Oryzias latipes: one gene and its partners. The protein of the gene in region 7 interacts with the protein of the main gene of each other region in a pairwise test. Links are inferred from orthologs where the notes say so. Each region holds a gene or a part of one and is shown on either strand. Other genes may lie near its edges.

Region 1 (3,500 bases), on a different chromosome or scaffold from region 7:
GTATTTACAGCAAGTAAGAAAGATTTTGGGTAAAAAACAAAAAAACGTCCTTTGGGAAGGTCATCCTTAGGGCAGAGCGACAAGGATATGAGGATGATCACAAAAATGTTGTACAAAAAACTTTGCTGCCTGAAATTTGGAGTGAAATTCTAAATTTGGTGTGCTTAATGATTAAAAAGTTTTTAAAGAAAAAGGGCACTTACAGTGAAATCTGTGACTAAACTGTGACATTAGTAAGAAAGAAGTTGTTTATTCTGCAAAAAACCTTTCTGGAAATCGAAAGAGGATTTTAATGTGATCAAAAGAGATTTTTGCAGAGCAGTGAATGGTGTTTAAGGCCTTAAAAAACAAAAACTGGTTGTCCTCAATAGTGGCACTGTGAGGGAAGGTTGAAAGCAGCAGAGGGGGGAAAAAAAAATTCAGTGTTTCAGGCCAAACGTAGGATGAGAGTCTACATGGATTCACCAAGGGAATCATCATCCTCCAGAGATAAGGGCAGGTAGAGATCCTGAAAACAGAGCAGAGGTATCCGTGATCTGAGCATCAGGACTGTGTTAAGAAATAACCATGTTTACAGAGAAATGGACCAGTACCTTCTGCTTGTTGTTCAGACCTGGACTAGTTGGGGTGGATGTGGGGGAGTTCTTGGAAATTGGGGTGGAGATCTGGCTGCTGGAGCCGGTCCCATTGGCTGAAAGTGACAATACAGGAGAGGACAGATGAAGGAGTAAAAGATGAAGTCAGCTTTGTATCTTAAACAATGCATAAGATGATTCAACCCTTTAGAAGAGTCGGTCCTTTATTGTGGCCTCACTTGGCAACAAATAAAGCCAGACTGGAGCTCCAGCTCTACTGAACCGATGAGTTCTGTTTGTCAGTGCACACTGTATTCACAGACTTAGTGTTGCGTCTCGTTGCTAGGATTCTCTCAGTGTGGGACATTGTGCTTGTATTTTGGAGCAGTGTGAGGTGATTTAGCCGTGTGAGTTAAACACTTTAAAAGGCTTTTTGTTCATGAAAGATGAAAGGAGGCCTGGAGACTCGCAACCAGATGGCGAGTCTCCGTTTATGCCAAAAGGCACCGAATACAACAAGAGGAAAACGCCTCACTGTCACTGAAAAGTCACACAAGGATAGGAAAAATGCTAAAACTGCTTGATTTTTAGAAACTAGGTTGGTTTAAAATAAGCAGCTTTCAAGACAAAACATGCAGGAGTTTTGATCAGTCATCACATTCTGAGCCTTGAAAGACAAAAAAAAAGGTTTTCCTCATCGCACATGAAAGTTCCTGACTCTTCAGCCTTTTCTGACATCTCTTCTCCCTACTGCATGTGAGCAAAATGGGCAAACAAAACACATGCAACTGTTATGCTTCAGAGAGAAACATAGATGTAGAATGGATCATTTTGTGATTCTGTAAATATTGTATGCATCAGTAAAAGAATCAGTAAAAAAAATAAAAATAAAAAACGAATTTAATTTTTCTTTTTGCAAGAAATTATATTAAAAAAAACATTGGATAAGTGGTAATATCAGAAACAGTCAGGAAATTGTTTTTGAATTATTGAAAACTTGTCAAAATTACCAGGCAAGTGAGACGTTTCCTGTGCCGTGACCCCATTATCAAGATTTGTGAACCCTCAGCTTCCAGATTCATAGATAAAGCTGACATCTTGAATGCCCATAAGCTGTGTTTACTGTCAATCATCCCTCATCAAACCTCCAATAATAGAATTCCACAGTCCTTAAGTAGACATCCATCTAGTTTCTTTACGCTTATTTGTTCTTAAAGCAAATTACAAAGCTACCACCAGATACGAGTAGAATCTGTTAAAAGATGCAAAAGCTCTTTAAAGCTAGCAGCAGAATCTCAATGATCTGCTGCCTTCTGGATATTGTCATGTTCAACTCCCCTGCCTCTCTGACAAATGGCTCAGAGGAGCTTTTGTTTACTTATGTTTTATTCATAGAGCTTTGTAAAAAGGCACATCATACTGCGTTACAACTCAGATTAAAGAACCACAAAAAAGCAGAATTTTAAATGACTTAATTCTTAGTAAAAGAATTTGTTTTAGGAATAAAAAATGTTGAATTTTAGACAGTCAAATTTCTTTTTGGAGAGATTTTATCAAAGGTTTTCAAACCAAAAAAAATTGCAGGAAAACATTGTGTCATCTGACACAAAAAATTTGTCCTTACTAGACATTAAAGAACCACTCCAATCATCTTTTGTAAAATCGTTTCAAGTGTTCATTTGACTATGGTGTTTTTAGCCCAAGGTCAAGTGTTCTATGTGGTTTATTAGGATATAGTTTCTGCATAGTAGCAGTAGTTTATTAAAAAAAAAAAAAAAACACCTATGAGTTGTGGGTGGACAACTGGCACAGCAACAAAAATGGCGAGCAATATTGGAGCCACATGGAGGTACATGACGTCTACAAGTGGATCCATCACAATAAAGCGGAGCAGGGAGCTTGTGGCCTGCCATTTGTAATTTCTTTGTCACAACTACACGCTTCTTCAGACGGCATTTTTTAATCTGCTCGAGATGCACCACGATTTAATAAAGAAATACTCAGATATGCAAATTTGACCTTTATTTTCTTTATACATGTCCATCAAAAAAAAGCCACAAAAACATGTTAAGAATTTTCAATGGAGCGGATCTTTAACCAAGTCAGTCATCTATTTTCATTCATTATTGAATAGGAATAATCCCCCAATCCTCACCATCCCCCTTAGACAAAGGTCAAAGGTGAGCTCCATCCCTCTACTTTCATATCTAATGTTCTGTTCACTATGTATTGTGCCCCATTGTTATCGGCATCCTTTTATTTTTTTTCCTTTTATTTTTATTTTTAAAAAGCAGTCTTAATGTCAGTATTCACTGTGCTCAAGATAATAGACTCACTGGATTCAGTGGGTGACTTGCTGCGTTTGATGAGACCCGGACTCTTCACTGAACCACGTGGGGTTTTGGGTCCTTTCATCACCCGGCATTCTGTCAAAACAAAGTCAAAAAAAGATCTTTATTTTCAAACTGGAAAAACAAGCTGCAAACACTTCTGTTTCTGATTAGAAATGCATCCATCAGTCAGATGGTGAAGCAAAGCTTCATATGCAATTCTATTTTGTACTATAATCCCATTATATTCTGGAGCAGTGTTTTTCATATTAGTAGACATACTCCAGACACTGCTGCACCTCTCCAAAAGCTTCCTCTGCGTTTGTACTGTCAGGCAGTTTCCCTCCCCCTCCCTCCTCTTCCTCTTTTGATGCTAATTATACTGTCTGTCCTCCTTCCATCTCCTGGGATCTCACCACATTCATCTTCTTCCTCTTAACCTTCACAGACACCACCACATACAACTGCATTTCTTTGCCATTGTTTGGGAGGTGTGCCACCATCACTCCTGCAGACTGGCAGCCTCTCTGATCAACTCCGCAGGCTCAAAATAGTCCAGACTCTCAGGTTCTCTAGTCTGTAGCAGAAACCATGA
Region 2 (4,229 bases), on a different chromosome or scaffold from region 7:
AACCATCTGATGGGTTCTGTTCAGGAGACGGACTGACGACAGCCAATCAGGAAGCAGAACACTAAACGATCAGCAGCACAAACGTCAGAAGTGAACCGCGACCACAAGAAGAACTCAAAAGGCCGAGTTCAACCAAAATGATCAACCGGAGCCAAAGGCTGAAAAACACCAACTAAAAAAAGAAAAAGAAAATTCTGCATCTTAAAAAGCAAAACCAGAACAAATAGCATCCAGTTGAAGAATTCATGTGCTAACAGCTAAAATGTTAGCATTGACGCTTTGTTCTATGGCAGCCCCTCCCACCAATCAGGAGTGAGCTTGTTGGAAGGCCACGCCCCTACCACTGGAAAGCTGTAAACGTTTTGAACACTGGACAAGGGGGTCAACAGGCTCCGCCTACTTTTATTGAGGCGTCTGATTGGCCAGTTAATGACTTGACTAACTTGAGATACAGGAAAAAAAAAGAGTTTTATCAAGTAGATGTTTAAAAACAAAAAGGTATCCGATCCAGAACGGTTCTTCTGACCAACAGAATGACAGCTGTTGATTTGCAGATACTTCCTGTTTGTAGCAAAGGGGAGGGGCCCCTCCGTCCAGTTCCGGTATACAGTCAGTGGTAACAAAAGAATCTGCAGAGAGGTTTTTCTGAAAATCTTAAATCCTTCAGATCAAACTTGTCTGGGGGGTTTTAAGCCGTGCTGCCAGAAGCTGACCTGCATCAGTCACTCAACCTCTCTGTCCCAGAATGCATCTCTCCTGAAGTGCATGAGTGAGCAGAGGGAAAACGAGTGGATTCGTGCCAGTAAAAGCAGCACATGTGATGCCCGTGTGAAGCTGAGGGAAGCATGTGACGGCTGGGTGATGAACGCCGTCACATGACTCTCCACCTCTCAGAGCCTCAGCAGCAGCGGCTCAACCTCCAGCTGCGGGAACCAGCCGGGTGTCGGCTCCAACGCCAAACAAATCCCCATTTTTAAGAGATCTGTGAGCTAAAAACCCGACGGGAATAATCGTCTTATTCCAAAAGACAACGCGAGCCGTTGTTCCACCAAACAGCAGATCCGAGGACCAAACCCGTTTTCTGAAAGCTAATCTCATCTTAATCCAAGAGGGCGATCCGTGCCGCTGAAATCCAGCCTCAGATTTCTCATTTTCACGCAGAACTCAACACAAAAGTCATGAACTAAAGCAATCAGAACGATTGTTTAAGCAATAATTGACCACAAATCTTGAAAAAAACCTAACAAACTAAATGCAGAGACGCCTGACACTCATGAGGGGATTTGTGAGGTTTAAATTAAACATCTTTAGCAGAAAACGTTGTGATATTTTCTTAGACTAAAATAGAAACACAGCTGTCAGGCTCCAAGCTTCCTTTTTCCAAGGTAAAACCTTTTTTTTCTGCTGTGGAATGAGATGCAGAGTCTTCCTACTATATTCACTAACCACAAAAACAATGTTTACAACAATCTGAATGTAAATAAAATTTGAAAAAAGACAACATTTGAGCAAAATCATAAAAACTTTATGATTTTATCAAACATCTGTTTGAGCGGAGCTTCATTTTTCCAAACTGTGGTTCTCCAGAAAAACCATAAACCAGTTTAAAAAGTGAATACAGGAAACAGGTGAGACAGAAGGGACAAAATGAAAACACGTAATGGCGAAGGGGCGTGGTCTAAGCAGTGCGTTCTTGGTCTTATTTTGTTGTTTGTCAACTGTTTTCATGGTGATTTTATTGAACAGAAGGGAAGCAGGTCACAAGATCAAGTATTAGTGCATAACATTTGTAAAACGTTTCTTAGACAGCGTGACAAGCTAACGTGTGCTTTAGAGACCATGATACTACCACCACCTGTCAGCTTAAAGACCACGCCCTCATTTCCATATAAAGTAATCCTCAACCTTTGAATAGGAGGGCTTTAAAACCAGGTACGGTAAAGAACACGGGCGCTAAAGCCACGGCGATTAAAGGGTTCATTTACAGAACCAACCGAATTCTACGACAGAGTCAGTCACAAAAGTCTGGAGGACATTTCACAGCAAGCCTCCTCCGACTGTAGGTTGAGGCTAGTAAACAGAAGAAGAAGAAGAAGAAGCCCCTCCCTGCAGGCGCAGTGTGAACACCTGGTCTGAACGGTGTGCATGTAGTTTCAGAAAAATAACCTCTCTGGGTTTAAGGAGTTCAGCTGTGTTTGTCCTGAAGCTCGGTTCTGAACAGGTTCGGCTCATCAGAACCTGAAGGTTGATCCAGCAGGACAGAATCCCGATGACCCGTCACGGAATGGACCCCTTCACACCTGGGGTGCTTTTGTATCACGTGACCACGAGAGCAGGTGTTTCATAAGAATTTCAACGCGCGCGAGCGTTAGCCCTCATCGCATCGGCGACGGTCCAGCTGCTCCGGAGTGAGGCGCGTGACGAGGCGGGAACTTACCCTCTTAAGTGGCACGGTGCTTCGGAACCAGTTGTAGTCTGGAGACACCTTGATCTCCTCCATCTGCGGACACAGAGACGGTGACTCAAGTGTGTGTGCGGGGGTGTCCGGGCTCAGCTGCTTCCGCGCGGGGGCAGCTGTTAGCCATAATAGCGGCTAGCTGCTAAACGAACCCCGCGGTAACCCCGTTAACGGCGTAGAAACCGACCGCCCCGCCAGCCCCACTCACCGTGGACGTCACCGTGTCAGAGCCCACGCCGCTGCTCGGTGAAGGGTCACCGTGTCCGGAGACGTTTGTCCATGTCGGGTAGCGCTTGGAGCGGCTGCAGCTCGGTCATGTGATTTTCCTTTCACACACTTCCGCAAGTAGCCTCTCCGGTGCTGCGTTCGCGGTCGCTCTGAAAATCCTGTTCTCCGGCAGTAAGAAAGCCGCTTTGGTTTCTTAAGTCTTGCTTAATTTCTGTTGTCGTTACAGTTTTCATCCTATACAATGTAGCACTCAAATGTATTCAATGTTTGTCTGAATATGGAATCAATAGAAATGTAAGAAGACATTACAGACTCGAGATTCTTTCCACACAAAACCCAACGAATCTCCGAATCCCCGTTTTTCTCAAACGCATCGGTCAAACCTCAAGGTAATTCTTCTCATAATTTTAACTTCAGTCATCAAAATATTTGGATGAAAAACTTTCTAAAACAAACTTAATTCTTGAATGAAATGCGTTTTTGTTCGTAAATTGTTCTGAAATTACAATTCATACAAGTAAAATGGAATAATTTACATCTTCAGTGTGGATCAGTCTTTCATTGAAATCCTGTCTGTTCTCATTTTTTTGTGGTTTAACCTGGACAGGAAACTGAAATGACAAGATGTGTAGATTGGTTCCGTTTCCCAGAGCGGTGTTGGTGTGTCGTTCAGACTTTGGCCCCCATCGGTTCTCCAGCTGTTTCTTTAAAAGCTTCATCTGAAATCGTTTAACCACCTCCAAGTGTGTCTGACGTGACGCAGAGAAGATCAGTTATGGAAGGTTTAAACTGCTTCCTCAGGTCGTCCCCACTGTGAAGGTCAGTTTATTGGAAATGTTTTCTTCCCATTTGGAACTTAAAGGCAGCTTTAAAGCTTGTGAAACATGAGCGTAACCCCAAAGTGAATTTATTTACCCTAAACTGTTTAGCTGTTTAACAAACGTTTGATAATGAAGATAAAAAGGAGGAAAACCACAAAAAGACAACAGTAGAAATGATTTTTTTACCAAACTTTATAAAGTTGAGGGAAGTCCTGGAGCCCCAAACAGACTTAAGGACACATTAAGGGAAGAAGCTGCATCAGATTCTCTTCCAGGCACATCAGCGTCTCAATGACAAACGTTTTGGCAGTGAAAGCTCCAGAAGACAGAAGAAGTGCTTTAAGACGTTGGAATCTCCCATCCGACACATGCAGAACGGTCCTGTGCAGCAGCGTTCTGCACTGCTGAAGGTCTGAAGGATGGACGCATTTGAACTCATTCACCAATGTCCAAAGGTCAAAACCTTAGTGAGGGGGCGGGGCCAGAGCCCAGACCCACTGTGGTTAGTCTAGAACACGTTTGAGTCTCCTGGAAAGTATCAAACGTACAGAATCACAGAGAGCAGAAAATCCCACTAACCAATCCCTGCTCAGAATATGAAAAGCCCCGCCCACATCACACAATTTAAAGTAAAAAAAAAAAGTACCAACAGATGTAGAAATACACAAGTCGTGTATTTCTACTTTTCCCTAAAGGTATAAATGCACATTTGGATGAACGTT
Region 3 (4,233 bases), on a different chromosome or scaffold from region 7:
CCCGACCGCCTGTTGATAAACTGACACTCCAGAATTATGTTTGCTGCATTCTCCGACTGCGTCTCAAATTGCTGCCATCGGTGGAGAACCAAAGGACACAATGTTCCTACAGCTCAAGGCCCGAGGTGTCCTGAGCTCCAGCAGGAGCAAAGCATCTCAACACGAGATGGAGCAGAGAGAGGTGTTGAGATCTTCTTCCATTCTGTCTCACAGCTCATTCATACAGTTTTAGTTATGAACTTTCTAGATTTATTTCTTCAGCATTGCTGCTAAAGGATGAGCTGCTATTGCAGTCATGAGGGAGGAAATCACAAACACATCACAGCCAGACGGACTTTGACTGATGGAAATAGATATTTATAATATTTTATTGCCTTTATGGTGTGTTTGTCTGGGTTTTTGTTTTCTCCTGTGGACATTATGTTTTTAATGTTAATTTTGAGTGTTGTTTTGAGTTAAGATCACATAAAAAAGCATAAAAGGGCACTGGTTTGTCTGGACTCTTACAAGATTTAATAAATGACTTCAAACTGTTCTATTGATTTCTGCTGCATTCAATCAGCAGGTCTGTAATATGTTCGCCCTAAAGCGGTTTTAGGAGAGTGAAATGAAAAGAAAAAAAAAACTTTAAAGCGCCACAGCCCTCAGCTGCGTGAGCTACAGGATTTCTGATCAGACCTGCACGGGCGTCTGTTGCATTCGGCATCTGTTTGGCACAAAATGGCCGTCTGCTGGAGATTAGAAACAGCCCGAGTTGCACTTTGGAAAGAGTTTGTTTTTGCCAGATTGAGCAGAAGGAAAAGCGGGAAGAAGCAGCAGAGTTAAAGAAAAAAAGCAGCGAGAAACTGAAGCGGTGACGCATGCGCAAATTAGGAAATTATTCTGAAAGATGTGAACACATTTTTTAGAATCACTTTTAAAATTAAAATTATTTATATACACAACCTATTTTTTAAATAAATCACTAATGTTTTGAATACGAGTGTGCTTCGAGATAATAACACCGGACTAGTTTTAAAAATATAGTGATAAAATAATAATTTTCTTTATTCAATTCCTAAAAAGTTATATCATCAATCAAGCAGGGTTGAAAAACAGAAAGCTGATTATTTATCAAGAAAGATTTTTTTAATTCAGAGCGTCTCCCATGTTTCCCAGACAGGACTCACGCGCACGCCTGCATCAGGCTGAGCTCGGATTTTTGTTTATCAACTGCTTGCAGTTTTTAGAAGCTCAGAAGGAGACTCGTGTTTAATGCTGCGAGGAAAACGCGCGCGCCCACAGGGACAAAAAAATCAAATGCCAAAATAAACTGCAGAAGAAAGCATGAGCGAGATAAAGAAGCAGCGTGCAGCACAACAGTTACATGGTTCGGGTGTCGATACAGAGACTCTGTGATCGCTTAGAGTCCCGCACTCAGGTTTGCGTGTCGAGGCAGCGCGGGGCCTGCAGGTTCACGCGGGAGGTTAATGAGTCAGGGGACCCGAGCTCCCTCGGAGAGCAGCCTCTGCTGCACCGTTCTCTCCTCCAAAAATGCCACTTCTGCGTTCGAACCCCACAGAGAATAAAGACAAACTGAAGACCGGTTCAGAACTCACGCATGCACCTTACTATGTCAGCTTTCCATCGGAACCCGCACGCGCAGCTCGGGTCTCCATGTTTCACCAGCTTTTGGTTGATAATTGTCCCGTTAAATATAAATATCGAACTCTCTGCTGGACTCTCGCCAAAGAAATCAGTCATCTGGAGACGCACATCCCACTCCGTCCTAAGTCAGTGCAACAGCAACATCCCATAATATGAAGGCATAAAATGGCCTTTTTCTGTAATGTACTTCTTCGCTTTCAGACACAGAAAAATCACCACAAACTCGCTTTAACGTGAGCTCGTGAGCGCGTGAGCCGCGGCTGCTGCGCTCAGCTCTCCTTTGTTCCTGTTTTATGGCTGCATTAAACGCGTTTACAATCTCCATCCGCGCGCTCGCGCTCCCACGCGTTTTTCCCACCTTGATAACTTACTTTGATCCGGGCCGTCTTTGTCCTCGCTGCCTTCACATCCCTCCTTACTCTCCTCGAACCCCCGGCCCGGGACGGCCGCCGGGTGGAGGCTCAGTTCGCGCGCCGCCGTGGACACGGGGTCCAGGATGTACGTGGTGGTCTCGTGCGGGTGCTGCACGCTCACTTTGAGCGGGATGTCCCCGCCTTGGTGTCCCAGCTGGGGCTCCAGCTTCACCTGCCCGGTTTGGCTCTGGCCCGAAACAGAGTCCGGGTCGCGAGGAGCGGCGTCCAGCCATGAGCGGAGATAGCGCGTGTCCGCCGCGGGAACATGCTGCGCCGGGAGGTACGGGTGGTAGACGGCGGGAAGAGCGCCGGCGCCGTGGTGCGGGCTGAACGGGCTCCACGACGGTGAGAAGACCGGGGGTTTGGGCTGGAAGCTGCAGGACGGGTACGAGTCAGAATGAGGATGCTCCGCATGTGCAGCGGCCACGGGCTGCCTGACGCCCGCGGCCACTGAAGAGTTTGGAGAGGAGTACTGGACGGCGGAGAAGCGGGCCGGACCGGAGAGTTCATCACTGTCGTGACTGATGATGGAGTCCACGTAATAGTTGCTGAGGGTCCCAGAAATGGACATTCTCGGACATTATCCGCGTGCAGCCGCGAGTTTGTTAAAGCAGAAGAAGAGGGACATTATGAGATTTACGTCACTCTTTTCTTCTTTTCTTCTGCTTTGCTGCCTTCCCCCCTCTCTGACTCTCGCTCTCTCACTCTCTCACTCTCTAACGCTCTCACCCCCCTCGTCACCCCCCTCCTCCCCAAAGACTCTGTGACCACAAACAAAATGTTCCAGTTTGCAGCCGCGCGGATTTGTCCATTTCACGCAAACTCATTCACGTTGCCTTTGAGTCTGACCCCACCCCCATCCCCTGCACCCACGTGTGTGTGAACCTGAATGTTGAGGAGGTTCTTGTTTACCTGAATAAAGCCCTAAGAAGTTCTTCAGACTACAGTCCACCTGCAACAAACGCGGGAAACGCTCATGGCCGCAGAGCGGTTCTGCTGCTTCTGATCTGCAGCTCCAACAGTCTATCTGCAGAGTGCGCGCGGTGACTCCTGAAGTGCTTGCTCATGTTTTACTTTTCTTTTTTGGGAAGTTTCTCAGCCGCTTACTTTAACAGGCGGATTAACAATCATCTTCTGTTAACGAGCGCCATTAACTTAACGCGGCTCCCGCGCGCCCTCAGCCCCTTTCTTCGACTTCATCCACTTTTTGGGGGTCCATTTAATACCACAATAAAATCCCACACAGGGGCGGCTGCTTGAGTTTTATAGGCCTTATATATGACTCATGGTGGTGCGGACGGAGCAGCGGCTGCCTCTCTTTCCGGCCGCTGGAGGAACGCAGGATCAGCGCTCTGCTCCTCCGCGCTGGATCCCGATCAAACTATAGGTTTACACTCTTAATGTGGACCCGAAAAGCATCATGTACCGGAGGCGCCCGGAGTCTGACGTCACCGCGGCTGTAAGTCTCTCTGTTTGTTTGTAATTATGACAGACATGCGCTTTTGGACTCTTTGGAGGCCATAAATCCGGTCTGCACGTTGCATATGCAGCTACAGTTATTTACGACGTGTAAATATGAACTAGATTGCTCATGGGGGCTAACGGTGTTATTTACGAGGATCAGGGAAAGATGAAGCGAAGCTTTCAGATCTGCTGGTAAAAAAAAAACTGGATTCAGGGATGAAAAAGAGAAAGAAAGGCATTCAGATGGCATTCAGTCAAGAGGCAGCAGCGAACCAAGATCCAAACTGACGGTTCTTTCAGGACCAGGACCATGGAGCCAAAGCACGAGACACTTTCTTTCAGAAAAAAAGAAAAAAAAACCCGCTTTCAAATCAAAAACAAACTCACAAATAGCAATCCAATGTCCTCAGTGCATTAAAAAAACAAATATTATATATTATATCATATATTATACCCTAGAATAGAATAGAATAGAATAGAATAGAATAGAATAGAATAGAATAGAATAGAATAGAATAGAATAGAATCGCGGGCGTGCATATTGTTCTTTGGGACTTGCCCGATGCCTCGGATGTTTCCCAGTCGCTCCTCAGACCGCAAAGCTCGGGGAATTTTAATTTTTCGGGGCCTCCGCCCTGCTGGGTTCGCTGCTAACCAGAGAGCGCGTTAATTAGGAACGTTTGGAAATGCTTTTGCAAACCACTTTTAT
Region 4 (4,201 bases), on a different chromosome or scaffold from region 7:
GTGGAGCTTTGGGTTTTCTCTGTTTGTCTTTGGGATTAACATTCATTTTACGCCTTTTTTTTGTCATTAAAAGAATATTTTAAAGTTTCAAAGTAAGAATCTGTTTGACTTGAACATTCGGTGGTTTTGTTTTCATTTAGATAAATGAAAACATCCGGGTAAAAAGAAAATCGTGAACATTTTAGGGTCAACTCGCATTAAAGTAAATTGAGATTTTTTTTATTTTTTTTACAGCGAGTTGAATTAAAAAACAGAAAATTACTTCTCAAAGAAACAGAAAAATGCTCTGAGATAAATCATATTTTTCCTCTTTAATCCCTTTTCAGTAAAGTATCTCATTTTATTTAGAATAGAATAGAACTTGAATCGATCCCACAATGGAAAACTTGACTTGTTACCATAAAAAAAGGATAATAATGAAAACAACACAAAATACAGATTACAAATTCAACAATAAAGTGTCCAATGTCTATGAGGCGATGTGGCTGATGGTGGAAATCTTCCAAAGAAGAAAGAGTGATGGCAGGAGGAGGACCTCACCTTTATAGATTCAACTAATCACTATAAAATTACATTTGAAAGCATTTTTTTAAATGCCAGTTGAGATGTAGCTGCTATGGACACTGAGACACTGAGAGGTTGTCAGAAAAATGTGTGGGAGCCAACATTCTTTGGACTGTTTCATCAACTTTACATGCAAGTGAACATTGCTGTGGCGCACTTCTCATTTCCTCAAGTGGAACACAAATACATCTAAATGTGTTTTTACCAAAACGATGTAAAACTGTTCCTCTGATCATTTACATGGAGGCCGACTTTCCCTTTTTTATTGACACTTTTGACATTTTGGAAATGAGCTTGAAAGGGTCACAGAAGGGTCAGGAGACGGTGCTACTGCAGGTTTACAACGGCTTAAAACACAAGTTTTCCCATCACAATCAAGAAGTAATACACCGTTTTTAGAAAGTGCTGGAGCCACATGTTATTCATTTTTTGGAAGGGAATCCTCAGACCCACAGCCGGACTTTGGACATGCCTACTTTAATGCAATCTGTTGCAGTTGAAGAAAAGTGTCACAGATCTTAAACTCCGTTCATCTTTTGATCTGTTTTCAAAATGTTCCCACATAGAACTTTGAACATTCTTCATACTTCTGACCTGATTGTTTGTGGAATATCTTGCATTGTTGTTGTTTTTTTGGTTCTTGTTTGAAAAATAAAATAAACAAAATAAATACGGAGAAATGCCATTTTAATCTCGTATTTCTTAGTTGAGAAAAATGCCACAACAACGATCCCCGCCGCCGATCAGCGGCTGACCGCAGCTCCACCAGCGCGCTGCTGTTCCTCTCCTCTCCACACGGGGGCGCAGCGGGCGAGCCGCAAAAGCACCAGATGACCCCGGAAGTGAAAAGTTTGTTTTTTACCGGGACAGAGAACAAACCTGTCCGTGGAGCGGCTTCAGAGTTCTGCTGCAGAGCGGAACCGGACCGCGCCGTGCAGCATGAGGACCGTCCTGATGGTGGCGGAGAAGCCGTCTCTGGCGCAGTCCATCGCCAGAATCTTGTCCAAAGGTTGGTCCGGTTCGGAGGCGGGTTGGGGGTTGGGGGGGTCATCTTTAGTTTAGAAAAAGTATATTTTTGTGGGGTTTTTTTTGGTTTTGTTTTGTTTCATTTTTTATGAAAGAATCTTTCAGTAACAGGAACACTGTGAGGATCCAACAGGGCAGTGGCTATCATTCAGGAGGAGACAGTTGTCATGGAAACGGTGTTCGAACAAATCTGGAAAATCTTAGTTTCAAATCCCCGAGACAGTTTTCTTCATCTTTAAGATAGTTTTCTTAGGGCAGCAAGTCATCTGCCTCACCTAAGCATCTCCACTTCATCTTCCTCACTCTCACCTTCCTCCCTCATGTCCTCCTCCTCTCCATCCCACACATCTTCAAGTCCTCCACCTTCTCCACCTCTGCTCTCTGTGACATCGCCATTCCTCATGAGTTCCTCTCATCTACACAAAAACATAGAGATGCAGAGGATCACAAATGTTCTGTTTTTCTACGTTACAGTCTAAAAAGAGTCTGGGCAGATTGAACATTGAAACGTGAATCTATCAGTTCTCCTTCACTATAGTTACAAGCTTTAGTGTTTGTGCTCAGACCTTTGACCCTCGTTGTCTCCTGTTGGGTCTCATTATGTCTCCTGTCTGGTTTTTATGTGCATCATTGTTGTGAGGCATTGTTGTCGTGTCTCATTGTTGTCTTGTTATCTAGCCTCGTTGTTGTCTTTGTCATGTCTCATTTTCTTGTTGTCATGTCTCATTGTTGTCTCTTTCTTGTCTTAATGTTGTCTCATTGTTTTCTTGTTTTCGTTTTGTTGTCCTCTCATTGTTGTTTCATAGTCGTCTCATCATTGTCTCATTATTGCCTCGTTGTTGTCTAACTGTTGTCTCATTTTCTTATTGTTTCCTTTTTGTCATATTTCATTACTTTCTTGTCATGTCTCATAGTCGTCTCACTGTCATCCTGTTGTCTTGTTTTTGTCTCGTCGTCTTATTGTTGTCTCAAGGTCATTTTGTAAATATCTTGTTGTCCTCTTGTTGTCATCTCATTGTTGTCTTGCTATAGTCTCATTGTTGTCTCATTTTTGTCTTATTGTCGTTTCGTTGTGTTGTTTTTGTCTCATTATAGTCTTGTTATAGTCTCATTGTTGTCTCTTTGTTTTTTTTTTCATTTTTGTCTTATTGTCATCTTGTCTTGTTTTTGTCTTGTTGTCTTATTGTTGTCTCATTGTCATCTCGTTGTTGTCCTGTTTTCGTCTCGTTAAAGTCTCATTGTTGTCTCATTTTTGTCTTGTTGTCGTCTCATTGTTGTGTTGTTTTCTTGTTGTGACTGTCAGACCTTTGAATGTGGACCAGAACTATATTGTCTGCAGAAATCGGAATCTTTAGTTTCTTGTTGACGGTTGTTTTCAGACCCACAAAGGAGATCCAGAGTTAGTTCTTGAGAGAACCCTGTGGTTCTGCAGAGGAACTGCAGGCTCGTCTGTCCGGACGCTGACACTCACCTCCGCTTTCGCTCTCCCCAGGCAGCTGTACGAGCCGTAAAGGCCTGAACGGAGCGTGCTCAGTGCACGAGTACACCGGCACCTTCCAGGGCCAAAGCGTTCGCTTCAAGATGACCTCGGTGTGTGGACACGTCATGAGCCTGGACTTCATCGGTGGGTCCACTCAGAATCTCCACTTTTGGGGACGGTGGTCCTTGGCGGATGGGAATGTCCGCTCTGGGACGGTTCTCCTCATTTCTTCCTCCTCTTTCTGCAGGGAAATACAACAACTGGGACAAAGTGGACCCTGCAGAGCTCTTCAGCAAAGCTCCAACGGAGAAGAAGGAGGCCAACCCCAAACTCAGCATGGTCAAGTTCCTTCAGGTGGGTCAGCCAAGTGGGAGGGCAGTAGGGTTGGGCGATGTCCCTTAAATTGGCCGTTGACGATGTTTGCTGTCAACCATCGGGATGGACGATGACATCGTCGGGGGGGGGGGGGGGGGGGGGGGGTATTTTTACATTTTTCGTTCTTATATAACTGCTATTCGTTTTTTTGCTTTTTTCATTTTATTTCCCAACTAATGACTAATCCGCGATGATCCAGTATAAACTGAGGGAAGTGACTTTAACAAAAAAGTAACAAACAAAATAGAAAAGAAGTAGTCCGCTCCCGCACTTCCGGGGGAGTGCGGACTTACAGCTTTGTGTTTGATGGGAAGGGGGGGGGGGGGTACATGAGCGGTATGTGTGGGAGATTTAAGACTGCGATCCGTCCCGCAGCTCTAGGGGTACAAGCAACCGAACTCAGAACCGGGTCTAAGTGCGTGTCTGAGCACAGCTCGGATCGTCAGCAGAAACACAGCGGTTTGAGCTTCAAAGCAGAAATGTCGCTCAGTCCTTAGAAAACATTCAAAAAATCACGCGGATTTGTGTTTCCAGTCGTGTCCCGACTAAATAAAGTCTGATGTTATTCTTACATGTTTACGTGCAGCCAGCAAGCAGCACCACCCAAAGCTAATGTTGTTAGCCCGTGTTAGCATACTGCTAATCCTGGTTTCGTTCAGAAAAAGCACTGACCACACGGATTAAAATTAAAATGATGAGCGAACAGGTGTTTCATAATAACCGTAACATTATTAAAAGCAGGTTTAGAAGATCGTC
Region 5 (3,964 bases), about 16 Mb from region 7:
GTTATCAGTGTGTAGAGGTGAAAACATGAACAATCACGTCCCGTAAACATTAACATATATGATTTTAGTGTGTTGACAGATACCTTAACTCTTTCTTAACCACTGCTTAGAATAGAAAAGAATAGAATAGAAGAGAATGGAAACCCTTTGTCATCATTATACACATTATGACATTTAAAAGTGGATTCATAAAACAGAATCAGGTGGATCTGAGTTTAATACGGAGACAACTTTAGGGAACAAACAGTTTGAAGTTGTTAGACGAAACTAAAACCAATTCTCCAAGCCATTTAAAAATGTTTTTAAGAAAAAGTTTCTTTAGTAAAGAAAAACATCTGTTTTTAATGCAGTGAATGTATATTTTTTGTAAAATAGTAAGACTATATTCTGAGTGACACAGTGAGTTTCTGTCCACCAACAGAACTGTTTTGGGTCTGAAACAGCAGAAATACTTCAGTTCATGTTTCTTCTCTACTTTGTTACCTTTTAGGAAACACGAGGCGTTCAGAAGCTGAGGGTTTGTAACACTCAGAATCTAAAAATAATAAAAATGCATGAAGAGATATCTGAATAGATTAGTCAGAATGAAAGGGTGGAACAGAACATCAGGCGTCTCAGGACTTTATGTGATTGTTCTGAAAAAAGAAGCTTCTGTTTTTCTCTATGAATATCTCCTTTTTAATGCAGCTTTTACTCTCATTTAATGTAGAAACAACATAATTGGACCTTTTAAAATGGAATTTATAATAAAAGAATCATTTTGCTGAGAACCAATTAAAGCGTTTGGAGTTTAAAAGTGTCACATAAATAAAATGTTCTTACAGAAACCATGTTGGTTATTAGATGTTTGCAGCTGAACCTGCAGAACCGATCCGTTCGTGTTTCCGTTCTACCGGGAACTTGAACGGGTTCTGGACGGTGGAAGAACGTTCTGTGCTCGGAACCCTCAAAGTTGGGCTGACGGTGGGCGGGTTCTGGGGTTCTGCTCCTCATGGCTCATTTCCATGTCCGCCTCGCGATTGGCTGCCGGGTTGGAGGAGCGCGCAGCTGATTGGTCGGCTTGGGTGCCCTGCAGGGACAGCCTCGCTTCTGATTGGCCGCTGCCTTGAACCGTTCTTATCATCGAACACCTTCTTTAAAGTGTTTGTTTGTCCTCAGAAAGGATAAAAGGCGCAGGCGCGGCCGTGTGCACAAATACTTACACCGGGCGGCGCGTGCGTGAAGCCGCTCGGAGTGAAAGATGCAGAGCTCGAACTTCCGTCTGGATGATTTCCTCGCGGGATGGATCGGCGGTGAGTGACAGACAGACAGACAGAGACCTGATGCTCCTTTCTATTTCTGTTTTTCATTAAAGTTCACAAAGTCAAACTTTTATTGTGGGAGAGCGGGGGGGGGGGTTGTTTGGACCCCCCCCCCCCGTTTTTGTTTACGCGGATTTTCCGCTCCCCCCCATCTCCGTGCCACACTGACCAGTGGCCTCATATTGGATCATATTGGACCGAATCTGGTTCTGAGGTCCCACATCTGGCTTAGACCTGGGGTGGGGGGGTGTGGGCGGCAGAAACTTTCTTGGGGCTGCAGGGACGCGCGCGGCCCCCGGGGGGAGGGGGGGCAGCCCTGCCCTGTGATTGTGTAATCTAAAGTCGACCTACATTCGCTTTTAGTGCCATAAAATGATTTTCCTGGAACAGGAACTGGATCAAAAGTGGGATCCCTTTGATGGATCTGTGGATCCTCCAGGACTAGATCTTCCAGCTGGCCTGAAGGAAAGTCCGAGGTTTGGGTTGGAGCCTCACGAGCTTCCATCCACCGATGAAAAATCCCTTAGATGGGGGTCCGGAGGCTGCAGGAACCAGGACCCTCACGCTCAGACAGATGTTGAGGTCCTCCCAGCTGCAGATGAAACGATCAATAAAACGGCTGCCGCCTCCTGAAGACCACGGCGGCGTCCCAACTCCTCCCCTACCCACTACATAGTGTACTACAGATGGGGCGTTTGCCATTTTGTAGTGATCGATGCTCACTAGATTAGCGAATGCTTTTAAATCCAGGGCTCTACAGTCCTGCACCATCTAGTTTTTCGGGTGGGAATTCGGACACACCCCTGACGTTTCTCCAGCCTCCCGGCCCGCGCTGCAGGTCCACAGGTCAACCTCCGTCATGGCGTTCACTCCTCTGTGTTTCTTCTGCAGGAGCCTCCAGCGTGGTGGTGGGACATCCGCTGGACACAGTCAAGGTACGGCATCTCCGGACCCGCTCTGTCATCGCCGCACCAACGCTTTTAGGACTTCTGACGCTTTTGAAAGCCCTCAGACTCTAAAGCGGAACATTCCACGAGACCTTCAGGAGTCAGAGGATCGATGGGCTTAACGGGTTTTTCCTGGTCCAGCTTCAGCAGAGCCCATGTTTTGTGTTTCAGACCCGACTGCAGGCGGGAAAAGGCTACGGGAGCACTCTGCACTGCATCCTCTCCATCTACAGGAAGGAAACGGTAACCGGCCCGGCTCCACCTCTGTGGCACCTTCAGCCCGGCTGCTGGTTCTGGTTCTGGTTCTTCTGTGGGTTAAGGACGGAGATGACGCTTTTCTCCCGTGAACCTCCAGGTGGCGGGCTTTTTCAAAGGCATGTCGTTCCCGCTGGCCAGCATCACCGTCTACAACTCCGTTGTGTTCGGGTTCTTCAGCAACGCGCAGAGGTTCATCAGCACCTATCGCTACGGCGACGGGCGCCACCCCTGCAGCCTGCTGGACCTGACGGCGGCCAGCATGCTGACGGGGATGGTGTCGGTGGGTCTGGGGGCGCCGGTGGACCTGGTCAAGATCAGGCTGCAGATGCAGACGCAGACGGTTCTGGCAGGTGAGCAGAGGGCAGGCAGAACCGCTGAACGTCACATACTTTTTTAATTATTACATCATCGTGTTGCTTTACATCAAGCACCCCCTAGGGGTCACTTAAAGAACTGCTCTGGCTCCATTTACTGTTTTCTTTTTTAAAGACGTTTCAACCCGGAAGTGAAAGAGTTGGCTGTGTCGGGACAGAACCTCCTAAACAGTGAGGCCCCTTCATCGCTTTCAGGCCCGGCAGAACTTCTCAGGGATGTGAAAGGATCCGAGTTAAATCCAGAGTCAATCCTGGTTCTGATCTGTTTGCAGATAGAAACGTCTGCAAAAACCCAAACGGATTTCTGCCTTAAATATCTTTTTACACTTAATAGAAAACAAAAGGAACCAGTGATTTCTCAGTGAGATGCAGCAACTTGTTTAAGACAATAAATCTGGATTATTTTAAATCCTTTGATCTTGAAAACAAATTAGTTTAAGTAAAAATATAAAATAAAAGTATTACTTTAAGTAATGTTTTTAGACAAAGTAATGGTGAATGATGAGTGGTAAAAAAACAGATGTATTTACTGTTTCATTTGAATTATAACACAGAACTTATATTAACAAACATTTACATATTTTTTTAATAAATGTATCTTAAAATGAATCATTCTAGTTTTTAATAAGAATGTTTAGAAATAAGAATAGTTGGGCTGTTGAAGCTCCTAAAACAGGATCTATTGGAGGAAAATGGATCTACTCTAAAGATTTAAAACATTTTATCGATACTTTATTTTAAACTAATGTTTTCAGTTTTCACAGCATTAAACCTCAATGTGAGATTTCTTTTGTCCTAAAAGAGCAGAGAAAGGCCTAAATAAATGTCCAAGCTTTAATCCTTTTTGTAAAATGATCCAAACTTTCTGGTTTCAGAGGATGGGATTTGTGCTTCAGTGGTTTCGTTTGCGTCGCGCCTTTCTGTTAAACTTTAAATTCTCATAAATCGGAGGTCTCATAAGTTTAGGCGCTGAGTCGGCACATCGCTCTGTTTCTCCTGACGCCGTTCCTGAGCGACGGCGGAAACAGCCGTGATTGTTTTACGACGGAGCAAAGTGTCTCCGCTCGAAGCGTCTGGATGAGCC
Region 6 (3,964 bases), on a different chromosome or scaffold from region 7:
GTACAATAACAAGATGCCTTCTCCATGTAAGCATGTGTTTACGCATAGTTTGTCTTGCCATTACATAAAATCATAAGCATGATAACCTGAAATAAACAAGAGCTTCACTGACAGACAGTCGCTGTGTCAGGTTGATGAGGTGCTCACAGCTCCAGACCAAAAAAAAAAATTTCAAAATATTCATGGCATCACGCCCCCTAGTCCCACAAGTGACAGTGTGTTTTTGTGAGCATTCTCTCCACCTCTGGTTTCAAATGGTGGTAACAGCCTGCAGCGTTCAACCCCACATTTTAAAGTTAAGACCTCCAGTCCCCTGTGTCACATAGTTCAGATGTTTGATCAACCAGTAAGACACGTTGGGATTTTTTTCACCTTTTTGTTGGAGCATGCATATATTCATGATGAGAGTTAATGAGCGACTAAACAGGTTTAAACTTCACGTTCTACTTCAGCCACCGCAGGCCTGGATCTGGTTTGTGTTGCTGCGGTTCTCCCACCCTAATGTCTGAGTGGCTCATTTCAGCCTCGACCCTTAAAAAAACTGTTGTCAACTAGAAAGTCCTGCGCGCAGACGGACGAGATGATTTAGAAATAAAAGAATCTTCCAGACAAAGCGTGGACCTACCTTTGTCTTTAAAGCAACGGACTGTGCACACTTTAGCAGCGCTGTTATGTGCAGCTGGACACGGTGAAGGAGAAAGCACAGGCGGCACCACTGCGCATGCGTCGTAAAACCCTCACCGAGGGCGGGGCCCTTGTACAATTGACATTGAGCAAAACATATTTAATGAATATATATATATATATATATATATATATATATATATGTATTCGTGTTTTATGAATCTATCTATCTATCTGTCTGTCTGAAGACCAACATTTTATTTTAAGATAGAATTACTGAAAAAAAAAACATTTAGTCAGTTGTGATGTGGTACGGAGCCACGTAGTACGGTGACCTGACATGTCATGTGGAATGCTGTATAGCAGTAAAATCGAGTTTTCTCGTTGCCTTACAGACGAAACTCAGGGAAAGGAATATATGTTACCAAGTCACGACAGAAATACACCTGCCAAAGCTATCAGCAAAAAAACAGGCCAATCAAAATCCATGCTATAATACTACTTCTTTATACTGTAAATAATATGCAGGCGAATCTTCATTATAATTTCGGAATTTGTCATTTACAGTAAGGTTTTATGGGTATCAGCCCTCTTCCTCGATGTTCGACCTTTGTGCGCATGCTCCGTTGCCATAGTGACGACTTATACAGCCCCACAAGTGGTTGATACCAGAGCGTCATCGAAGAAAACCCTAATCCTTTAACGAGACATTTAAAAGGTAAACAGTGTATACTGATTTTAGTGAGCGGTTTATTTTTGATTAACGTTACCGATAAGCGTGTTTTATATTTCTCCTTGCATGCTTGTTTGTATTAGTTCTTGTTCGAGCTAAGTAGCGTATTTTAGAACCAGCTAATAAACAATAGCTGTTCACTTAACAGAAATATATGTGAGGATAAGGGCGCAACAAACAAAAGCAAGAAAACCTTTTAGCTTTAATATACAAGATAATCGATGCTCTATATGAAAGATGATATTGAAAATAAAAATGATTCCAATTTGGTAAAGACAAATCTTGAATGTTATATATAGGTGGCTTTCAACAAAGAAGACAATTCCAACATTAACACACTTTAACATTCAGTTCGGTTGTATTATAATTTATATGATAATTAGAATAAAAATATTGTTATTTTAGATTAATTTAATGCCAATCTTTTAAAAACACACCTATTTTTCCTCTCTTAAAAGTTGTCATATTCTGTGTGGGCCTCTATAAGAGTTAAGAAACTCTTGAATTGTTTATCGGTTTATCTGGGTTTATGCCCTCATTTCTCTTGATTTTATTTCTACAATTTTATTTAATGCTAACTTTGCTTTGGATTTGTATGTTCTTCATGAAATAAAGTTTTATATTTTTTAATTTTGTCAATATGAGGTTGGAAAAAAAGCTAGTAAATGAAGTTTTTTTCTTGAAATATCTGTTTTACATCATGACTGAGAGTTGTATAGTTTCCATGATGCTTTGTGTGCAAAACATTTACAAAGATTTATTTTTGTTGTAATATTTTTGAAGTTTCTTCTGTTTTAGATGTGTGAAGGACCTTCATCAATATCTGGCCCAATTCCCCCAGACCCTTCACTGTTTCCTCAATACTACCAACGACCAGCTTCAGGTTAGAAGCACCCAAGCATAGAAAAATACAGGTGTAATGTGCATTTGTCTGTTAACTGTTTTTTTTAATGCCACTTTTTTTTTCTTAATTAAAAAACATTTTCCTAAATGTATATTGAGCATTTTATATTTTCTTCATTTTGGATTAAAATGGCATCATCTTGTTGACTTGATTCTTTCAGCTCGTGGTCGTTTAGAGGGGAACCATGCTGGAACTCTGGGCCTTTTCTTGGGCCCCTTTGCTCCTGATCCTGTTGTGTTCCCAGGCTGCTATAGCTCTCGTACAGCAGTCCACCACCGTCCACGCATTGGCCCCAACGCAGCCCATATTCTGGAACGGGGTCGGAAAGGCGTCGTGGGAGAACTGATGAAACTAGACAACGTCTCAGTCAGTCCTGCTCCAAAACCGAGTAAGTGAAGCTGCTTTATAATCCATTGATATTTCATTGTATTTAAACAGCTGTGTATTGGAACGCAGCTGTGCTTTTTCCATCTATTTAAGTCAAAACCAGTGCTTTTTTAAACTTGTTTTAAGATTTATCAGATTTGTTGTAAATATAAGAATCTCAAAGGTAACTAAAACAATATTTGTGCACTACTTTTAACTGGATGGTAGTAAATTTGGCTAATAATAAAAGATAAAACTATTATTTGGCTAACTTTTGTTGCTTGACCCTGCAGAACAGAGAGTGCATGACTTTGGTAAAGAAAACGTACGCCGGCTGAAGGAGATTCAGAAACGCTGCAAAGAGCAGGAGGCTGAGAAAGCCCAGGCCCGTCCTGTTCCAGTGAAAGCTTTGTGGACTGCTCCAAAATACCAACATGTGTCTTCCAGGGTGCTGGCCCAGCTAGAGGCAAGGACTACTCTTATTTGTCATGAATGTAACGCTTTTGAGCTTTTCTACATGAAAGTGCGATCTGTTCCCCTCATGTAGAGTTCTACACCTACGGTAAAACCACAGTGTCAAAACTTCCTCAAGGCCCACTCTAATGGCAGTTATGCTGCACCATCAGTACCTTCACTTGCTTTCAAAAATTCATGCAACTCTGCGCAGGATCAGGACTTGAAGGTAAAAGATTAAGAGTAACTTTGTAAACATGTAATATTCCTATTTTTTCTACTGTGACATTTTAGTTTATAAACACATTTGGCAACATTTCTGGACAGAAATGGTCATTTTAGAGGACATGTGCGAGTGCTATAGTTAAGCCTTTATATTAAATAACATCCATGTATATGGTAAAATATTACTGGGAACAGACAATGGAATGATTTTTTAATCAAATATGAGTTATTTCCCTGAGCTTTACTTCCCAACCCGGAAGTAAGACGACCCGATCGCTGAGGCACCGGCTTTTGCTCCTCGTGGGTGCAGCCCATTTCATTACGTCATCCACCGGTGTCAGCAATTGTTTATTAAAAAAAAACAACCTCCAAACTTTTGCAAAGATGGATGTGCATAATGTGCATATAAAAGGAAATCACATATAAATATCATATAAAAGCTGATCACCGCTAGCTCCGCTGAGAAAGTGGGTGGGTGGGTGTGTTAGCTTGGGGCCGGAGGTGGCAGCATAGATTCTTCCTGGAAGGGACTGTTCTCACTGGTCTGTGTCAGCTCAAGAGAGACCAATTGTTTTTGTGGGTTTCGAGAGGCTGGTGCTCCGAACACAGAGTATTAGAGGAGTACTCAGAAATGCTTGAACAGAGCAAAATACCGCTTT
Region 7 (4,034 bases):
AACCTGTGTGTTAGACTATAAAACAAAGCATTAATGTGTCTAGATGGAAGGTAGCCGGTGTTAGAGGATGCAGACAGGGTTAGATGGAGGAAGCTTATTCGCTGTGGCGACCCCTGAAGGGAAGGAAAAGAAGAAGAATTTGGATGGGATTTTAAAAAAACAAATTGTCCACCCAAAGCTCTTGTGGTCTAGAGAAATATTTCATGAGGATGTTTTTCATATTCTGACACAGCTTTGATGTTAGTCACACTGCAGGATGGTTTACTGCTCTATAAGAGCAGCTCCACATAAATAGATGCAGTATTACAAAATATTTATTTGTGAGTTTGTGGTTTTGCACAATTTGCACACTTTTATTCAACCTTAAATAAGGGATTGAAAAACTCAATGCATGTTTTGTGTCACAAAAGCTGAGGAGTCCCTGTAAAGCTTCTAATGTTGAGCAAGTCATACTGACAGGCTCCAAATGCTCTGCCCTGGAGTATTTTATAGCTTCATTTTGTGTGTTTATATGTTTACATAAAAAGTTTGCAGGTTACGGAAAAAAATATAAAACAATGGACAATACAGGCTTGTGCTGTTTGCAGCCCTTCAGGCTAATTGCAGTTCTGAAATGCAGTATAACTGTTTTACAGAGAAGGCCTGTGAGACAAAGAAAACTGTATTTTGGCTTGCTTGTGGGGATAAAGTTGCAAGGTTGGCAAGTCTCCCCTGCTAATCCTGTGGCCTCCAGCATGTTGCAAAGATAGTCTGTCCCAAATACATGCAGTAGGTCAGTTTAACATACATTTCTGCTCAGATATTTTGCGGTCTCTGACAATAAATCTGGAGGGAAAATTTGATGTTTCTTTCTTTTTTTTTAAATTATTGCATAAGCAAAAGGTAAATTTTTACCTTTTTAAAAAAGTATTGGAAAATAAAATATTTTGTGAAATTGCTCTTGTAGTATAATTGGTCTCCAGTTGGGAGTTATTTTTACTAAGTGGGCATTGTCTGTGTCATGGCAAGATTGTAATTCATTTTTAATAACGACCATGTGTTTTTTTTTTTAATCCACAATTTGAATAAAATAAATAAATGGGTTAAAAATAAAAGGACATATTTTTAGTATCTATAGTTCTTTGGAAATCTATAAAGACTGCACTGTTGAAAGTGAACAGAAATGACAGCGACGCCGTGAGGCCACGCGGGAGGAGAGCGCGGGTGGAGCAAAAGAGACGTTGTGCGCACAGCTCGGGGTTTTCACAGTGGAGCAGTGGAGTAACCGATCCCAGATGCTGCCGTGAGGGATCGAGAGCTATTCCCGTATCCCTGTGGGTTGCCCACGTGACTCCTCGGGGATTGTTTGGTGTGGGGACCACGTCAGGCGGCAGGGAGAGCGCGCAACGTTGCGCGCAACTGAGTTGGAAAGCAGCACCCAGAAGAGGAAGACGCGCTCTCGCTCCTCCGGCGGCTCGTCATCCAGATGTGTTTTGGGGCGTTGACTCTCGTCTCTCACCCACTCTGATGCTCAGTCGCACCTTTGTCCAAACTTTCCGTCCAGGATCTGTGATCTTCTCCAACTGTTCTTCCACGAGGGTCCATCCAGAGCTGTCACGGGGGGCGGAGGTAAGCTGCGCGTCTTTGTTGTGTTTATTTTTGGTGGAGTAGCCTCAGGACAACGTGCGCTGAAGGATAAGCGCTGACTGAAGCATCCGTCAATGCGCGAAGGGCGCGTTCTGTTCTAATGACCCACATCCATGGAGGAGGGGGGGGGGGGGCAGAATGAAAAACAAGCAGAGCATGACTGACCATCTCATTCTGTTTTAAATGAGGTGTGCCACTTTTACACCACAAGCATTTTTTTTTTGGAGAGTCAGGAAACTGTTTCTACAAGATTTTGTGGGCATTATTTTGAGTTTCTTTTATGCACATTTCATGCACACCACACGTATCCTCTGTGGTATTGCATAGCATTTCAGGAACCAAGGCAGCCACCATAACTGACACCTGATCCGGGAGCCTGATGTCAGTGAGACGCTTTGTTTGAAGAACACTCAAAAAAGCTGGGAATAGCTCCTGGAGTGTGACATGAATACATTTCACAATAGATTACAACTCAGTTAAAAACTGAAATTAATTACCATAATTTTTAGAGTCACATTTTTTGTTATTGACACAATTTTTGTTATGGTTTGGCAAAGGGTGCTACTTATATCAACCTTTTCCTCTTTATTAGGCATTTTTTGGCTGCTGTGACTTAAACTGTGAAAAATGTAGTAAAGTACGTTTTTTGTTTTGTTTTCTCATTCCTAGTGACATTAGGGAGAAAGTGGCACAGCGGCAGAGTGTAAAATGTCAATGGGCAGCAACTGATCAATAATGAATGAGTCAAAACAATGCAGGGCAGGGAAAGAGGGGTCAACTGTCACGAAGTGCTGCTTGTCCCTTTTTTCACCAAGGCTACCCATTGATTCAATAGAAACCAATACATTAGTGACACAATAAAACCAAGTGCTGTGTCTGTTGCTGGGGAATTCAGCGGCACATTTGATGAAGTGGTGTTTCACAGTCTTTTAAAGTGATTTATGGTCCCCTGCACTCTTTTCTTGCTCTGTGGTTAATGCACGATCAAAGTGGCTAATGAGGCAGGTCTCAGTGGATGGGGGCTCGACACCCAAATGCAGTCGAGCTAGTCGTGAGAGTATAGCTGACACCCTCATTCATCATGGTTCTACAGGCCTGCTCTTTCCAATTTATCTGCTTTTTTTTCCTTCCCCCTTTACGCTCTTAGATGGTAATTATTATGATGTTTTAATGATGACAACAGTAGTCACTTTTTTGTGACAGGGACAGGGGTGTCTGTCAGTTGACACGCAACTAGAATTTTGCAGCTGCAGAGGATTCCATGAATAGAACTGAGAGGTACATGTTAGACTGTGTGTCTTAGCTGGCATTGCTCACACAGAACCAAAAAAGAAAAAAAGAAAAAATTTAATTCTTAAGGAAAAAACAAGTCTTCAAAAAGTACTGTTTTTTTTCTGACTATAAGACGCTCCAGGGTACATGCCACAGCAGCCAAAAAGTGCCTAGAAAAAAAGAAACGATCATATATAAGTCACACTTTTGAGAGAATTTAATTAAACAAAATACAGAAAAGGGATCTTAATCTTGAAAGGCAAATCCTATTTGCAGCAAAATTTCACTGTACTTGTACAATGACAATAAAGCTATAACTTTGATGACTTCTTTTCAATTTTTATAATGGAATGGATAACAGTAATAGTCAAAATATCTGTACACTTCACTACCATAATACATTGATTCCTATTTAGCTTCATGAAACATAGGAGTAGTTTAGAATAGCCCAACATATGAACAATTATTCAGATAACCATATCATAAAGAACATGCTAACAAGTCATTTAAACTCTTTATATTACTTCAAATGACTAAATCCGTTCAATTCTTCATCCTCTGTTTCACTTTGGAACAATTCTGCTTAGCCCGGCGTAAGACTGAATGACTCTTCTTCCTCTCTGATGTTGTCAGTAGCAAATACTGATACACACACCTACAGTGCCTTCTAGCTGTTGTGCATTTTTTCTTTTTTTTAAAAACACATATAAGTCACAACTGAGTATACTTTGCACCCCCGCCCAAATACATGCAAAAAAAATGCGATTTATACTCCAAAAATAGGGTATATGTATTATTTATTTTTTAAGATTAAAAAGAAAGAAAAAATTAACTTGTATAGTTGCTAAACTAACTCTTATCACCTTAAATGCCCAATATGATCTTCAGTGGCTATCATTTTGCTATTAATTTTTAATGTTTCAAGCTTTAAATAATGTAAAATGTTCTGGGTAATAATAAAAGCTGTGTTTAGCTGAAAGAGAGCTCAGTCTGTTGTTGATACACAAGAGTGTCATCAGCATAGAAATAGAAATGTTATTTGACTTTTAGTCCTTTTTTTTAATTATAATTTGTGTTTTTAAAACTCACACATAAGAACCTGGATCAATTTTTTCATCAAGTAACTGAAAGTTTCA

Evidence for each region.
Region 1: the proteins of mid2 (region 7) and dcx interact in binary tests that used the Homo sapiens proteins (3 or more experiments, as listed by UniProt). The two-hybrid records come from large-scale screens. The link is inferred for Oryzias latipes from reciprocal best matches to the Homo sapiens genes MID2 and DCX.
Region 2: the proteins of mid2 (region 7) and spg21 interact in binary tests that used the Homo sapiens proteins (3 or more experiments, as listed by UniProt). The two-hybrid records come from large-scale screens. The link is inferred for Oryzias latipes from reciprocal best matches to the Homo sapiens genes MID2 and SPG21.
Region 3: the proteins of mid2 (region 7) and hoxb9 interact in binary tests that used the Homo sapiens proteins (3 or more experiments, as listed by UniProt). The two-hybrid records come from large-scale screens. The link is inferred for Oryzias latipes from reciprocal best matches to the Homo sapiens genes MID2 and HOXB9.
Region 4: the proteins of mid2 (region 7) and top3b interact in binary tests that used the Homo sapiens proteins (3 or more experiments, as listed by UniProt). The two-hybrid records come from large-scale screens. The link is inferred for Oryzias latipes from reciprocal best matches to the Homo sapiens genes MID2 and TOP3B.
Region 5: the proteins of mid2 (region 7) and slc25a48 interact in binary tests that used the Homo sapiens proteins (3 or more experiments, as listed by UniProt). The two-hybrid records come from large-scale screens. The link is inferred for Oryzias latipes from reciprocal best matches to the Homo sapiens genes MID2 and SLC25A48.
Region 6: the proteins of mid2 (region 7) and enkd1 interact in binary tests that used the Homo sapiens proteins (3 or more experiments, as listed by UniProt). The link is inferred for Oryzias latipes from reciprocal best matches to the Homo sapiens genes MID2 and ENKD1.

Annotation. Positions count from the first base shown.
Region 1 is NC_019872.2:14,739,830-14,743,329, forward strand, and holds part of dcx (neuronal migration protein doublecortin), read right to left. Parts: intron 3,002-3,500; coding exon 2,912-3,001; intron 692-2,911; coding exon 594-691; intron 509-593; coding exon 452-508; 3' UTR 1-451. UniProt on the Homo sapiens protein: Microtubule-associated protein required for initial steps of neuronal dispersion and cortex lamination during cerebral cortex development. May act by competing with the putative neuronal protein kinase DCLK1 in binding to a target protein.
Region 2 is NC_019861.2:37,280,528-37,284,756, forward strand, and holds the start of spg21 (maspardin), read right to left. Parts: upstream 2,801-4,229; 5' UTR 2,667-2,800; intron 2,501-2,666; coding exon 2,438-2,500; intron 1-2,437. UniProt on the Homo sapiens protein: May play a role as a negative regulatory factor in CD4-dependent T-cell activation.
Region 3 is NC_019866.2:24,161,626-24,165,858, reverse strand, and holds the start of hoxb9 (homeobox protein Hox-B9), read right to left. Parts: upstream 2,801-4,233; 5' UTR 2,632-2,800; coding exon 2,019-2,631; intron 1-2,018. UniProt on the Homo sapiens protein: Sequence-specific transcription factor which is part of a developmental regulatory system that provides cells with specific positional identities on the anterior-posterior axis.
Region 4 is NC_019867.2:30,362,273-30,366,473, forward strand, and holds the start of top3b (DNA topoisomerase 3-beta-1), read left to right. Parts: upstream 1-1,401; 5' UTR 1,402-1,503; coding exon 1,504-1,573; intron 1,574-3,082; coding exon 3,083-3,214; intron 3,215-3,317; coding exon 3,318-3,424; intron 3,425-4,201. UniProt on the Homo sapiens protein: Releases the supercoiling and torsional tension of DNA introduced during the DNA replication and transcription by transiently cleaving and rejoining one strand of the DNA duplex.
Region 5 is NC_019868.2:29,276,432-29,280,395, forward strand, and holds the start of slc25a48 (solute carrier family 25 member 48), read left to right. Parts: upstream 1-1,164; 5' UTR 1,165-1,240; coding exon 1,241-1,292; intron 1,293-2,192; coding exon 2,193-2,236; intron 2,237-2,419; coding exon 2,420-2,491; intron 2,492-2,603; coding exon 2,604-2,856; intron 2,857-3,964.
Region 6 is NC_019867.2:6,232,711-6,236,674, forward strand, and holds the start of enkd1 (enkurin domain-containing protein 1), read left to right. Parts: upstream 1-1,164; 5' UTR 1,165-1,342; intron 1,343-2,140; exon of another isoform or gene 2,141-2,155; coding exon 2,156-2,240; intron 2,241-2,421; coding exon 2,422-2,649; intron 2,650-2,920; coding exon 2,921-3,093; intron 3,094-3,174; coding exon 3,175-3,309; intron 3,310-3,964. UniProt on the Homo sapiens protein: Microtubule-binding protein which regulates microtubule organization and stability. Promotes the stability of astral microtubules and facilitates the proper orientation of the mitotic spindle.
Region 7 is NC_019868.2:12,830,012-12,834,045, reverse strand, and holds the start of mid2 (probable E3 ubiquitin-protein ligase MID2), read left to right. Parts: upstream 1-1,234; 5' UTR 1,235-1,608; intron 1,609-4,034. UniProt on the Homo sapiens protein: E3 ubiquitin ligase that plays a role in microtubule stabilization. Mediates the 'Lys-48'-linked polyubiquitination of LRRK2 to drive its localization to microtubules and its proteasomal degradation in neurons.